Ovis aries: one gene and its partners. The protein of the gene in region 1 interacts with the protein of each later gene in a biochemical or structural test. Links are inferred from orthologs where the notes say so. Each region holds a gene or a part of one and is shown on either strand. Other genes may lie near its edges.

Evidence for each region.
Region 2: the proteins of GAS6 (region 1) and AXL form a complex in vitro, tested with the Homo sapiens proteins (2 studies listed by BioGRID and IntAct, with this or other methods). The link is inferred for Ovis aries from reciprocal best matches to the Homo sapiens genes GAS6 and AXL.
Region 3: the proteins of GAS6 (region 1) and TYRO3 form a complex in vitro, tested with the Homo sapiens proteins (2 studies listed by BioGRID). The link is inferred for Ovis aries from reciprocal best matches to the Homo sapiens genes GAS6 and TYRO3.

The regions. Positions count from the first base shown.
Region 1 is NC_056063.1:86,165,765-86,170,029, forward strand, and holds the start of GAS6 (growth arrest-specific protein 6), read right to left. Parts: upstream 2,912-4,265; 5' UTR 2,755-2,911; coding exon 2,682-2,754; intron 2,521-2,681; coding exon 2,354-2,520; intron 1-2,353. UniProt on the Homo sapiens protein: Ligand for tyrosine-protein kinase receptors AXL, TYRO3 and MER whose signaling is implicated in cell growth and survival, cell adhesion and cell migration.
Region 2 is NC_056067.1:49,992,671-49,995,620, forward strand, and holds the end of AXL (tyrosine-protein kinase receptor UFO), read left to right. Parts: intron 1-459; coding exon 460-811; 3' UTR 812-2,318; downstream 2,319-2,950. UniProt on the Homo sapiens protein: Receptor tyrosine kinase that transduces signals from the extracellular matrix into the cytoplasm by binding growth factor GAS6 and which is thus regulating many physiological processes including cell survival, cell proliferation, migration and differentiation.
Region 3 is NC_056060.1:35,183,929-35,187,572, forward strand, and holds part of TYRO3 (tyrosine-protein kinase receptor TYRO3), read left to right. Parts: intron 1-95; coding exon 96-225; intron 226-307; coding exon 308-408; intron 409-694; coding exon 695-790; intron 791-1,119; coding exon 1,120-1,200; intron 1,201-1,611; coding exon 1,612-1,704; intron 1,705-2,118; coding exon 2,119-2,240; intron 2,241-2,648; coding exon 2,649-2,758; intron 2,759-2,932; coding exon 2,933-3,092; intron 3,093-3,287; coding exon 3,288-3,424; intron 3,425-3,644. UniProt on the Homo sapiens protein: Receptor tyrosine kinase that transduces signals from the extracellular matrix into the cytoplasm by binding to several ligands including TULP1 or GAS6. Regulates many physiological processes including cell survival, migration and differentiation.

The DNA of each region.
Region 1 (4,265 bases):
GGATGCACGGGGCTCCCGCGACTTCCTGAACTTCGTTGGGGTCACACTCACACACGATCACAAAGAGCCTGGAGTCTGAGGGCCAGGAAGCGATGCTCCTCAGGAGAGACCAGACTTTCAGGAGCCGGGGCCCATGGGCGAGGCCACAGGGCTGCCTCACTCGACGTGCTCCTTTTCCAAAGGCTTATTAGCAGTGAGTTGTGTTTGCAGGGTCTCCCCCTGTCCTGGAATCCAGAACTTCTTCAATGTGAGGGAAAAGATGGCGTGGACGCCTGGCGGGGCATCTGGTTGACCAGAGCAGAACCGGACATGAGGAAGTCCCCTAAGCACCAGTCCCAACCCCCAAACCGAACTGGCTCCTCCGGAAGCCACCGCCCCTCAGTGAACGCAGAAGGCACCGGTCCACCCGGGAAGCTGGTGATAAGGGGAAAGGTGTGACTGCGATTTGGGGACGGGTCAGGAAGCAGGACAGGGTTCTGAAAAACCACAGGCGGCTTGGATGTACAAGGAGCCCACGCGTTCCTGACGGGGTGGATGGGGCGGGTGTGGGAGGCAGCTCCCCCGGGAAGGGAGGGCAGGACGCCGGGGGAGCGCAAGGCCCTGCGTGAAAGCCGCCGCTGTCCTTGCCCTCGTCTCACCCACTGCAGAGGAGGTTCCTGAGCAGAGCGTGGCCACCCACTCCCGTCTTCCTGCCTGGAGACCCCCCATGGGCAGAGGAGCCTGGGGGGCTGCCGTCCACGGGACTGCAGTCAGACAAGACTGAGCGACGAAGCGCAGACACGGCTGTAACAAGCCTGAGAACAGCTCCAGTGGGGCGGGGCAGGCTCTGGGGAGGGTGCGGTGGCCAGCGTGCAGTGTGTCCAGCCCAAGGCCTCTCTGTCCTGCAGGAGCAGCGCTGGTGGGGGAGGCGGCCTCACCGCCCGGTCACCTGCAAGCCCGGTCACCTGCAAGCCCCATCCTGTGCTCTGTAGGAGCCAGCGCTCCAGGCTGGGCCTGTGACTGGCAGGAACACACTTATCACACACCCCGTAGCCAGGCAGCAACCCAGGCAGCCAGCACACAGCCCGCATGGGACCTTCAGAAACGCTCCGCGGAGCAAGCTCCCGGGGGCCAGCAGGACAGGCAGAAGAGACGGGGCGGGGCAGAACTGCTGCTCACAACGGGCCGACGCACACCACTGCTGACCGAGAGCCACCGGTCACAGCTCAGCCCTGCAGCTGCGGGCTGTGCCAAGGCCAAGGAAGGGCACAGCTCGGCCATCGCCATCAAGCTTGTTTCACAGAGGGGACCATGGGGTGGGTCAAGCCAGCCAGTCAGGAACGTGAAAGCCTGCAGCCTTCACACTGATTTGCTTGCTGCACGAGATGCTTATTCCACCCCAGAAGAATTCTTTAAAAGAAATATTCCAGTAGAGCCAAAGACAGCTGTGAAATCATCCTGACCTCAGGGTGCGAAGCGCGGCAGGGTGAGCCCACCCCTCTAGCAGCTTCCCTGCGGGGGGCTCCCGGGCACACACCCCAGCCTCTGCCCCACCTAAGATGGCACAGGGCACCCAGGGCCACTCCCCGAGGCCGGCTGCCTGTCGCCCCACGTTCTTCACGACATTATTAATAGAAGCTTGTCCTGAGCCAGCACCTTAGGCTCCTGCAGTCTCCGCGGTTCCCAGGGCGCACCTTGCGGCCGCCTGGCCCGCCCTCCCGCGTGTGCCAGCCCTGCTCCGCCCTCCCCGTCCTCCCTGCCGGGACCTGCTGTCTTCCGGCACTCCAGCCCTCCGTCTTTGAAGCTAAGGCTCCCGCCTCTAGCTAGATAGGGAACTGTGGACAGCCCCACCCCCTCCTCTAATCTGGCCAAGGGGGCAGGGAGGCAGGAAGCTGTTCCTGCTCTCCAACCAGTTATTTCGTTTACGTTAAGCCGGACCCTACTGCTTTCTGGCTGAGCTGTCAGAGTTGCAGTTTCCCTCAAGGCGGCTGCCTTCCGAGGCCTGCCGCGGTAAGAGGCTGCGGGCGTCCACAGGACCCCCCGCGGGCATCGGCCGCCCCTCCTCCACGGAGGGGCACCTGGCATCACCGGGCGAACAGGGGCTCGAAAGGAGGAGGCCTGAGGGTGGCTGGGGCGGCGCACAGCGCCCTGCCCCTCCGCCGCCGCTGCCCTCCTCCCTGCATAAGGGTCGGTGTGCCCGCAGGAGGGTTTGCCGCAGACCCCCGGCTCCCGCACGTGCGCGCGCAGACGGGGGTCCCCTGAAGGGTGGTGCCGCGGGAGCGCGGCTCCAGGGGACACGCCTGCCCCGGCGCCCCGCTCGCGGCCCCAAGGCCCGGGGCGCACTCCTCGCCGCCCCGCGCGGCCCCGCGCTCACCGTCTCGGGGTCGTTCTCGAACACCTCGCGGGCCTCCTCCCGGCTGCACATCTCCTCCACGCACTCCCTCTCCAGGTGGCCCTGCTTGGCCTCCTCGAAGACCTGGTAGGCGCGGCGCTGCCTGGGCCGCAGGAACTGCGCCGCCTCGCGCGCCCGCAGCATCACGGCTTCCCGGGCGGGCGGGAGGAGCGGGGAGAGAGCGGAGACGCGCCGTCAGCGCGGCGGCGCCGGGGCCCGGGGCGCGCGGGGTGCGGACGCCGAGGCTCCCCTCGCCCTCGGGGGGGGGGTCTCCCGGCCCCGGCGCGCCCCGGGCCCGCGCGGTACTCACTGTGCGCCGACTCGGAGGCCAGCAGGAGCAGCAGCAGCGCGGTGCCCAGGGCGGCGGCGGGTCCGGGCGGCATGGCGCGGCGGGGCGGGGCGCGCCGGGGCCGGGGCGGAGGGCCAGCACTGAGACCGGGGCCGGGGGGCCGGGCGCGCGCGGTCAGAGCGCCCGGGGGGCCGTGGCGAGGCTCGGGCGCCGAGGGGCCGTGGCTCCGGGCATCCTGAGCGGGCGGCTCTGAAGGTCACATCCCGGCGGCGGCACCGCGGCGCTCGCGCGGGGCTGGGCGAGGGCGGCGGCGGGGGCGGGGCGCGCGGCAGGACCGGCCTCGGGGCCGCGCGGGGCGGGCGGGGCGCGCCGGCCTCTCCGGCGGGCCGAGCCGGTTTCCTCGGGAAGATCAAAGCCCCGAGGGGCAGCGGGTCTTCCGGACGAAGGCGGGGAGGGAGTGCCCCCTTCCCCCGCGCCCGCGCCCGGGAGCTTCGCCCCAGTCGCGGGTTACGTTTATGTAACCGGGCGGTGCGGGCGCGGAGACGAGGTCACGCGAGTCCAGCCTGTCAGGTACAGACGGACATTCACCAGCTCCCACCCTCTCCCCGCCCCGTTCCCCAGCCGCGCCCCAGATCTCCGCGTCCTTTCCGAAGACTTCATTCCGGGGCACGTACTCTCGAGACTATGCACCCACCAAAGGAGGGAGAAACTGAAGTCAAGGCGAGCCCCACTGGGGTCCAGGGAGCGAGATTAGAAGATGTGCTTCCGTACTTTCTGCTTTCACGGCGATGACGCTGGAAGACCTCGGGGGCTCCCAGTAGCTGTTTCAACCGAAAGCAGCGTTCTCTCGTTCTGGGAGACCACGACTTTCTGTCTCTCGTCCTGGAATATTTCGCAAAGTCACAATAAACACACACACACAAGCAACACCGAAGCAGAGCAGCCCCCTCGGGGAATCGGGGCGGGCAACCGGCGGGCGCCGCCTCGGGGGTCCAGACCGGAGCACGCGCCCGCGACCGACCTCCACCCCGACCTCCAGTCCGCACCTGCGCCCACCCCACCTTCCCTGGCGGGACATGAGCGCCGCTGGTGGCAGGTGTCTTGAGGTCAAAGGTCTGAAGGCGGCATAGTGAACGTGAATATCAGCGAAAGGGACGCTCCTCCAACCGCTACAGAGAGGATTAACACTTGAATAGCCCGCACTCTGTTCCTAGCCTCCCACGTCAGCCGGGACTCCACGAGCAGGGACTCAAAGCCGGCTTGGAACGGCAGGCGCTTACACAGAATATTGACCACGTTAATCTTCCTGCTTGTCCTGAGGAGAAGCGCTGCTGTCAAAAATCTGGGTGAGGCGGAAAATCCTTCAGTCGTGATTTACACCAGATCTTTAATCCGCTGGTGGCATTCTGTTATTGGAGGTCCCAGAGCTTCTTGGATCTGTGAGCTTACAGTTTTCATCGAATTTGGAAAAATATTTTGCCATTATTTTTCAGATGCTGTTTCGTGTCCCTCAAACCTCTCCTCTCTCCTGGGAATTCCAGTGGCACGGACGTATGGCTACTTAAATTTTCCCAGTGTTGCAGCCACGCGTTCCGGGAAACAAAC
Region 2 (2,950 bases), on another chromosome or scaffold:
CACGTGGGCTTAGTTGCCCCGCGGCATGTGGAATCTTCCTGGGCTAGAGACAGAACTTGTGTCTCCTCCATTGGCAGGCAGATTCTTAACCACTGGATCACCAGGGAAGTCCTGAGTTCATATTTTAAACCAACACAGCTTGCAAAGCTTTGATGCTAGAGTCTGTCCTGAGAAGCCATATTGGGAAGCTTTGCTCTAGCAAAACCTCACTAGAACATCACCCCACACCTAGAAAGATTTCCCAAGACATCTTCCAGCTCCTGAGTGTCTGTTCCAGGACTCCCCTTAGAAACTTGTGCAAATTCCCAAATCCCCATAGGTGCCCCCCTCGAAACTGCTACAGTTCCCTCCACTCCCATGAAATGCCCTCAGTCCCGAGTGTCCTAAAATGCCAAGCTCCCAGGAGGCTCCCTGTCTGAGCCCCTGCTCAGTGTCCCACCCCTCATTCTGCTGCCCTAGGTATGCCCTGATGTCCCGGTGCTGGGAGCTAAACCCCCGGGACCGGCCAAGTTTTGCAGAGCTGCGGGAAGACCTGGAGAATACGCTGAAGGCCCTGCCCCCTGCTCAGGAGCCGGAGGAAATCCTCTACGTCAACATGGATGAGGGTGGAGGTCATTCTGAACCACTTGGAGCTGCTGGAGGAGCGGACCCCCCAACTCAGCCTGACCCTAAGGATTCCTGCAGCTGCCTCACCGCCGCCGAAGTCCATCCTGCTGGCCGCTATGTCCTCTGCCCTTCTACAGCCCCTGGCCCCACCCTGCCTGCTGAAAGGAGCTCCCCAGCAGCCCCAGGGCAGGAGGACGGCGCCTGAGACCACCCTCCACCTGGGACTTCCTCTCAGGACCCAAGCTAGGCACTGCCACTGGGGGACCCGCCCCCTACTTTCCCACTCCAGACCTTAACCCCAATCAGAGCCCTCTCTTCCCACCTGTTCCACTTCCATCCCAGACAGATCCTCTTCCTTTTCCACACCTCAGTGTCCCCATGAGTAAAAGAAGGGGATTGGACTGAAATCCCTGAGGGCCCTCCCAGGTCTAACATTCCAAGATTCTAGATTCTAAGGTTTAAAGAGTCTAGATTCAGAGGTTTCAGAGTTTCAGAGCTGAGTCTTTGATTCTAAAGACTTGGAATTCCAGTCTCTAATTCTAAAGTGCTAAGGTTCTAGACACAGAAGTTCTAAGGCCTACATTCTAAGGCTCTGAGATGCTGTGGCCCTAGATTTTTCTGGTCCTGAGATTCTTCATAAAGCCCATGAAATTTTAGGTTACAAAGCTCTAAGATTCTATTTCTAGAATCTAAGGCTCTGTGATTTTAGATTTTATTTTTCTAGGGTTCTAAGTCCTGAGGGTGTAAGATACTAGATCCTACAATTCTAAAAATCCTACAGTTCTAGACATGGAGGTTCTAAGGTCATATGTTCTAAAATTTGAAGTTCTGAGCCTCTTAGAGTATAACTTTTCTGGTTTTAAGACTCCAGATCATAAGCCACAAGATTTGATCTTCTCAAGTTCTAAGATTCTAATGATGGTCAGTGACAGAGTCTAAGGCTTTATGATCCTCGAAACCCTTGTTATGAGACTGTGGATCTTAAAGATCTAAAATGCTAGCATCTGCAATTCAAAAGTTCTAATAGTCTAAAGATGGAGGTTCTTCTAAGGTCTAATGTTCTAAGATGTGATGTTCTAAGGCTTAGTCTAAGAACCTAGAGTCTCTGTGTCTAAGATTCTAGATCATATGCTTCAAGATTCTAGATTATTAAACTCTAAGATTCTAATGTTGTTCTGTTCTGTGTTCCAAGGCACTCTAGATCCTGTTGGTCCAAGATTCTGGATCCTCAGCATCTATGGTATAGATATTCCACAGTTAGTGGTGACAAACTGGATGCCAAAGTTCTAATCATTTTTAATTTTGGACACCTTTAAGTTCTATGCTGCATCTTCTCTTTCTAGGATTTTAGTTAAGGGTCTAGGAATTCATGGTTCTAAGTCTTACGATTCTGAGTTCCAAGATTCGCATGTTATAAGATTCTAAAGGTCTAGAATTCTAAAGTAAAATTCTGAGGTTCTTACCTTATAGTTTTATCCTGTGTGACCCTTCCCTTCTTAGCCACCTCTGCTTCCTCTTCCTTTCACTTGGGGGTGTGCCCCCTCAAACCTGTGCAATGCAATAAAGATGCCTCCTTTCCCCAGAGGACAATATCCCTCTTTTGGGGGCCATATTGCCCCCCGCCCCCGAGCCAGTCCTTTATGCCCCTTGAACAGAGTGTGAACCCTGGCACCTCCAGTGGGGCTCAGATCACATAAAACTTTGTAACCATGCTTCTGTCTCCTCTTGTCTCCACTTGGCTGTCATATGGCCCTTCTCCCAGGCAACTCAGCTTGTGTAAAAAGGAGGGTTTCGTGGGGTCTTGGAGTTCTCCCCTCACTAAAGAGGGTAGATGTGAACAGATTCAAAGACAACAAGGACAGGCAAACAAAGAAAAGCGGACTTGCCAGACTCGACGAAACCCCTAGTGAGAAATAAGCACATAGATACTCACAAGGTCACACAGAGATCCTCCCTATTTCCCAAAGTAACAGACTCTTTTTTTTTTTTTTTACAGACTCCTTAATTAATGGACAAACTCAAGCACTCTTGGTCACAAATACAGAGACACAAATTCAGACAGAGAAACACAAAATTACACAAACATGTTTACAAATATGCACTGGCAGGCGGTCAACCAAGAATAAGAAGAAACTTGAGTAACTAGAGGAAAACAGATACAGACACAAATACTCATATAGAGTACCTAGGGGGCTTCCCAGGTGGCACAGTGGTAAAGAATTGCCTGCCAATGCAGGAGGAGCAAGAGATGTGAGTTCGATCCCCCGGTCAGAAAGATCTCTTGGATAAGGAAACGCAACCTAGTCCAGTATTCTTGCCTGAAGAGTTCCATCTACAGAGGGAG
Region 3 (3,644 bases), on another chromosome or scaffold:
AGCCATTGGCTCAGGCTCATTGACCCTCATTTACAAATTCTAAAGGGTCTCTGTGGTGTCAGCCCAGCTCGTGCTACTGCCCCTGTCTCCCACAGGCCAGCAGGGTGCTCCCCACAGCCGCACATCCTGGGTGCCTGTGGTCCTGGGCGTGCTGACAGCCCTGGTGACGGCTGCTGCCCTGGCCCTCATCCTGCTTCGAAAGAGGAGGAAGGAGACACGGTTTGGGTAAGGGCTGAGGACATGGAGAGAGAGGCCGGCACTGACTGAAGACCTTGGAGCTGACTCCAAGTCCTGGGTCTCCTTTTAGGCAAGCCTTTGACAGCGTCATGGCCCGGGGGGAGCCAGCTGTTCACTTCCGGGCAGCACGGTCCTTCAATCGGGAAAGGCCTGAGCGCATCGAGGCCACATGTAAGTGAGTGGGGGGGAGTCCTACGAGGAAGGAATGGGCTGCCTTGAACCTGCACCTGCCTTTCTCTTACTGATTTGACCAATAGGTCTGAACCTTGCTGAGTCCTAGGCACACCATGGAAAAGACACGTAGACCTATCCTCGCAGAGGTCACCGGCCCAGCTGTGGGGGAGCTAAATAAAGCTTACCTCTGCTTTGAGGGTGGCGTCTGGGGTGGAGGAGGCAGGCTGAGTTTTGGATCAGGACCAGAGAGGTCGCTCCCTTTCTTATGACCGCCTCCCCGCAGTGGACAGCTTGGGGATCAGCGACGAGCTGAAGGACAAGCTGGAAGACGTGCTGATCCCGGAGCAGCAGTTCACCCTGGGCCGGATGTTGGGCAAAGGTATGTGGGGCTGAGCAGGGACTGGCCTGAGCTGCCAGGGCTGGGTGTGTCTGCTTGCTTCCATGTCACTCTGGGCTGTGGATATAGGTCAGCTCCTATAAACAGGATGTGCTCATAAACTCCTGGCTGCTGGACATTTAGGGGAATGGAGGCTGGGGCGAGAAAGGCTGAGGTGTCATCACTCCTAGCTTACTTTGTTTTGCTATGAATGAGGGAGCCTCCTTCAGTGGCCCCAGAAAGTGATACTGTGTCCCTATGAAGGGTCACTGGGGAGGTGGGTGGGGGGCAGGAGGCCAAGGGGACTCACCATTGTTTGGATCGGTTCCTAGGAGAGTTTGGTTCAGTGCGGGAGGCCCAACTGAAGCAGGAGGATGGCTCCTTTGTGAAAGTGGCTGTAAAGATGCTGAAAGGTGAGTGGAGAATATTACTATAGTGGAACTGAGGGTTTCACTTGGGAAGGTGAAAGGGGGCTGATTCTGAAGCAGGCTCTGCTGGGCCCCTTAGACTTTCCAAGATGTGTTAGTCAGTGCTAACTGGGATGCTTTCTCTGCCACGTGAATAATTCCCAGGCATAAACCCACTTTCCTTGGTGCCCCAGCCTCTGTCCTCTGCCTTAGCAGTGACTATCCTCTGGTTTCACTTGGGGTGACTAAAGCTGTGGTTGGTTGAGTGGTTTGGCTGTCCAAACCAAAGAGAAGGCATGAGCGAGTGGAGATGTTGGACAGACCAGCCTGTGGGGTTTCCTCCTGCTCATGACCAGACTGTTTCCCCACGCCCACGGTGGTCACGTCTCCCTCCTTCCCTCCCTCCTTTTCTCCCAGCTGACATCATTGCCTCAAGTGACATTGAAGAGTTCCTCAGGGAAGCGGCTTGCATGAAGGAGTTTGACCACCCACACGTGGCCAAGCTTGTTGGTGAGTCCCTTCTTGAGGGAAGTAAATGTAAAATGAGGCTAAAACTGTGCTCCTCCAAGGTGCTAGGGCAGCCTGTGGAGAGAAGCTCAGACTTGCCTGGTGAGTAAGCAGACACCAAAATAGCAAGGAGGGGCGTGGCTGAAATCTGATCAGGCTCCAGGTAAGGAGCTCAGTTTGTAGACCCTGTACATGAAGACTGCTTGTGTAAACAGGAGGAGGAGACAGAGAAGATGCTCCAGAGATTCTGGGGCAGCCAGAATGACTCCTGGGGAGTCACTGGGCCCAGTGTGGAACTTATGGGGAAAGAGGTAGCAGAGCCAGGGCTAGAGGTAGGACTGGCAGGCGGGGACCCAGGCTGATGCTTGGACTGTCCCTTGACCTTTATGTGCCCCGCTGACTCTCCCTTGTCCCCAGGGGTAAGCCTCCGGAGCAGGGCCAAAGGCCGTCTCCCCATCCCCATGGTCATCCTGCCTTTCATGAAGCATGGGGACCTGCACGCCTTCCTGCTCACCTCCCGGATTGGCGAGAACCCCTTTGTGAGTGCCTGGGGTGGGAGTGGCCAGGGGTTGGAAAAGCACAGAAACCCTGGGAGAGAGGTTGGCTTGGTGGGCAGGGCCGTTTGAGTAGGTTGGGAGAAGGCAGGCTCTAAGTCTGACCTTTATTGCTAACAGGCTTTCTTCTCCCTCACAAATCCCCACTGGGAATTGAGGCTTACCCAGGCCCCTTCCTGGGAGAGGAGCCCCGTGGGGGGCCCAGATTGGGACAGTCTTGACTTTTGGGTGCCCTCCCTCAAGTTTGCCAAAGCTTCCTTGCACTGGGAAGCCCCTCCACTCTCTTCCTTTCAGCAATTCTGAGGACAGTTGTTAGGTTTCCTGGTCAGGGAATCCCTTTCCTCCTGCCCTGGCTAGGTCTGTCCTGAGTTTGCTGTCCTGTCTGCCCACCAGAACCTGCCGCTGCAGACCCTGGTCCGGTTCATGGTGGACATTGCCTGTGGCATGGAGTATCTGAGCTCCCGGAACTTTATCCACCGAGACCTGGCTGCTCGGAACTGCATGTATGTGAATTCTGGAGGGTTCAGGTGGGAGGCAGGAAGCAGTACCAGGAAGAACTAGGCCCCGCCTGGAACAGTATCTGCTCTGTGAGGAGATGGCTTGGGGACAAAGACACCGTGGATTTAGTAAGGCTGCGGCCTGGTGGAAGGCTGACCCCACCCTCCAACCCCTCCCAGGCTGGCAGAAGACATGACGGTGTGCGTGGCTGACTTCGGACTCTCCCGGAAGATCTACAGTGGGGATTACTATCGTCAGGGCTGTGCCTCCAAACTGCCCGTCAAGTGGCTGGCCCTGGAGAGCCTGGCTGACAACCTGTACACTGTGCACAGTGACGTGGTGAGCAGGTGGCGGGGCAGTACTGTGGTTAGTGTGTGGGTGGACCTGGAGCCTCTCCCAGGCCTGGCCCACTCAGCCCTCTGCACTCTGGCTGTCCCAGCCTGAGGCCCCTGAGCCCCAAGATGTGCTTGCTTCGAGACTGCCTGGCCTAGGAGGCCTAGTGACACCTTCCCCCCAACCTCGATTCTGTCCCAGTGGGCCTTCGGGGTGACCATGTGGGAGATCATGACGCGTGGGCAGACGCCATACGCTGGCATCGAGAACGCTGAGATTTACAACTACCTCATCGGCGGGAACCGCCTGAAACAGCCTCCGGAGTGTATGGAGGACGTGTGAGTGCCCGAGGGAGGGGATCCTGGGAGGGAACAGGGGTTTGGGGTTTCAGCGGATGGCTACCACCACACCTGCTGTCCTGGCGGGGGCTGCGACCCTCAGCTGAACTTTTGTGGAAATACCCTTGTCATTAGAGGCGAGTCTGACTTCTACCCCAAACTTTCTTTTTCATCTACGACTCCTGTTTTCTTTCTTTCCTCCTTTATCATCCTATAGTTC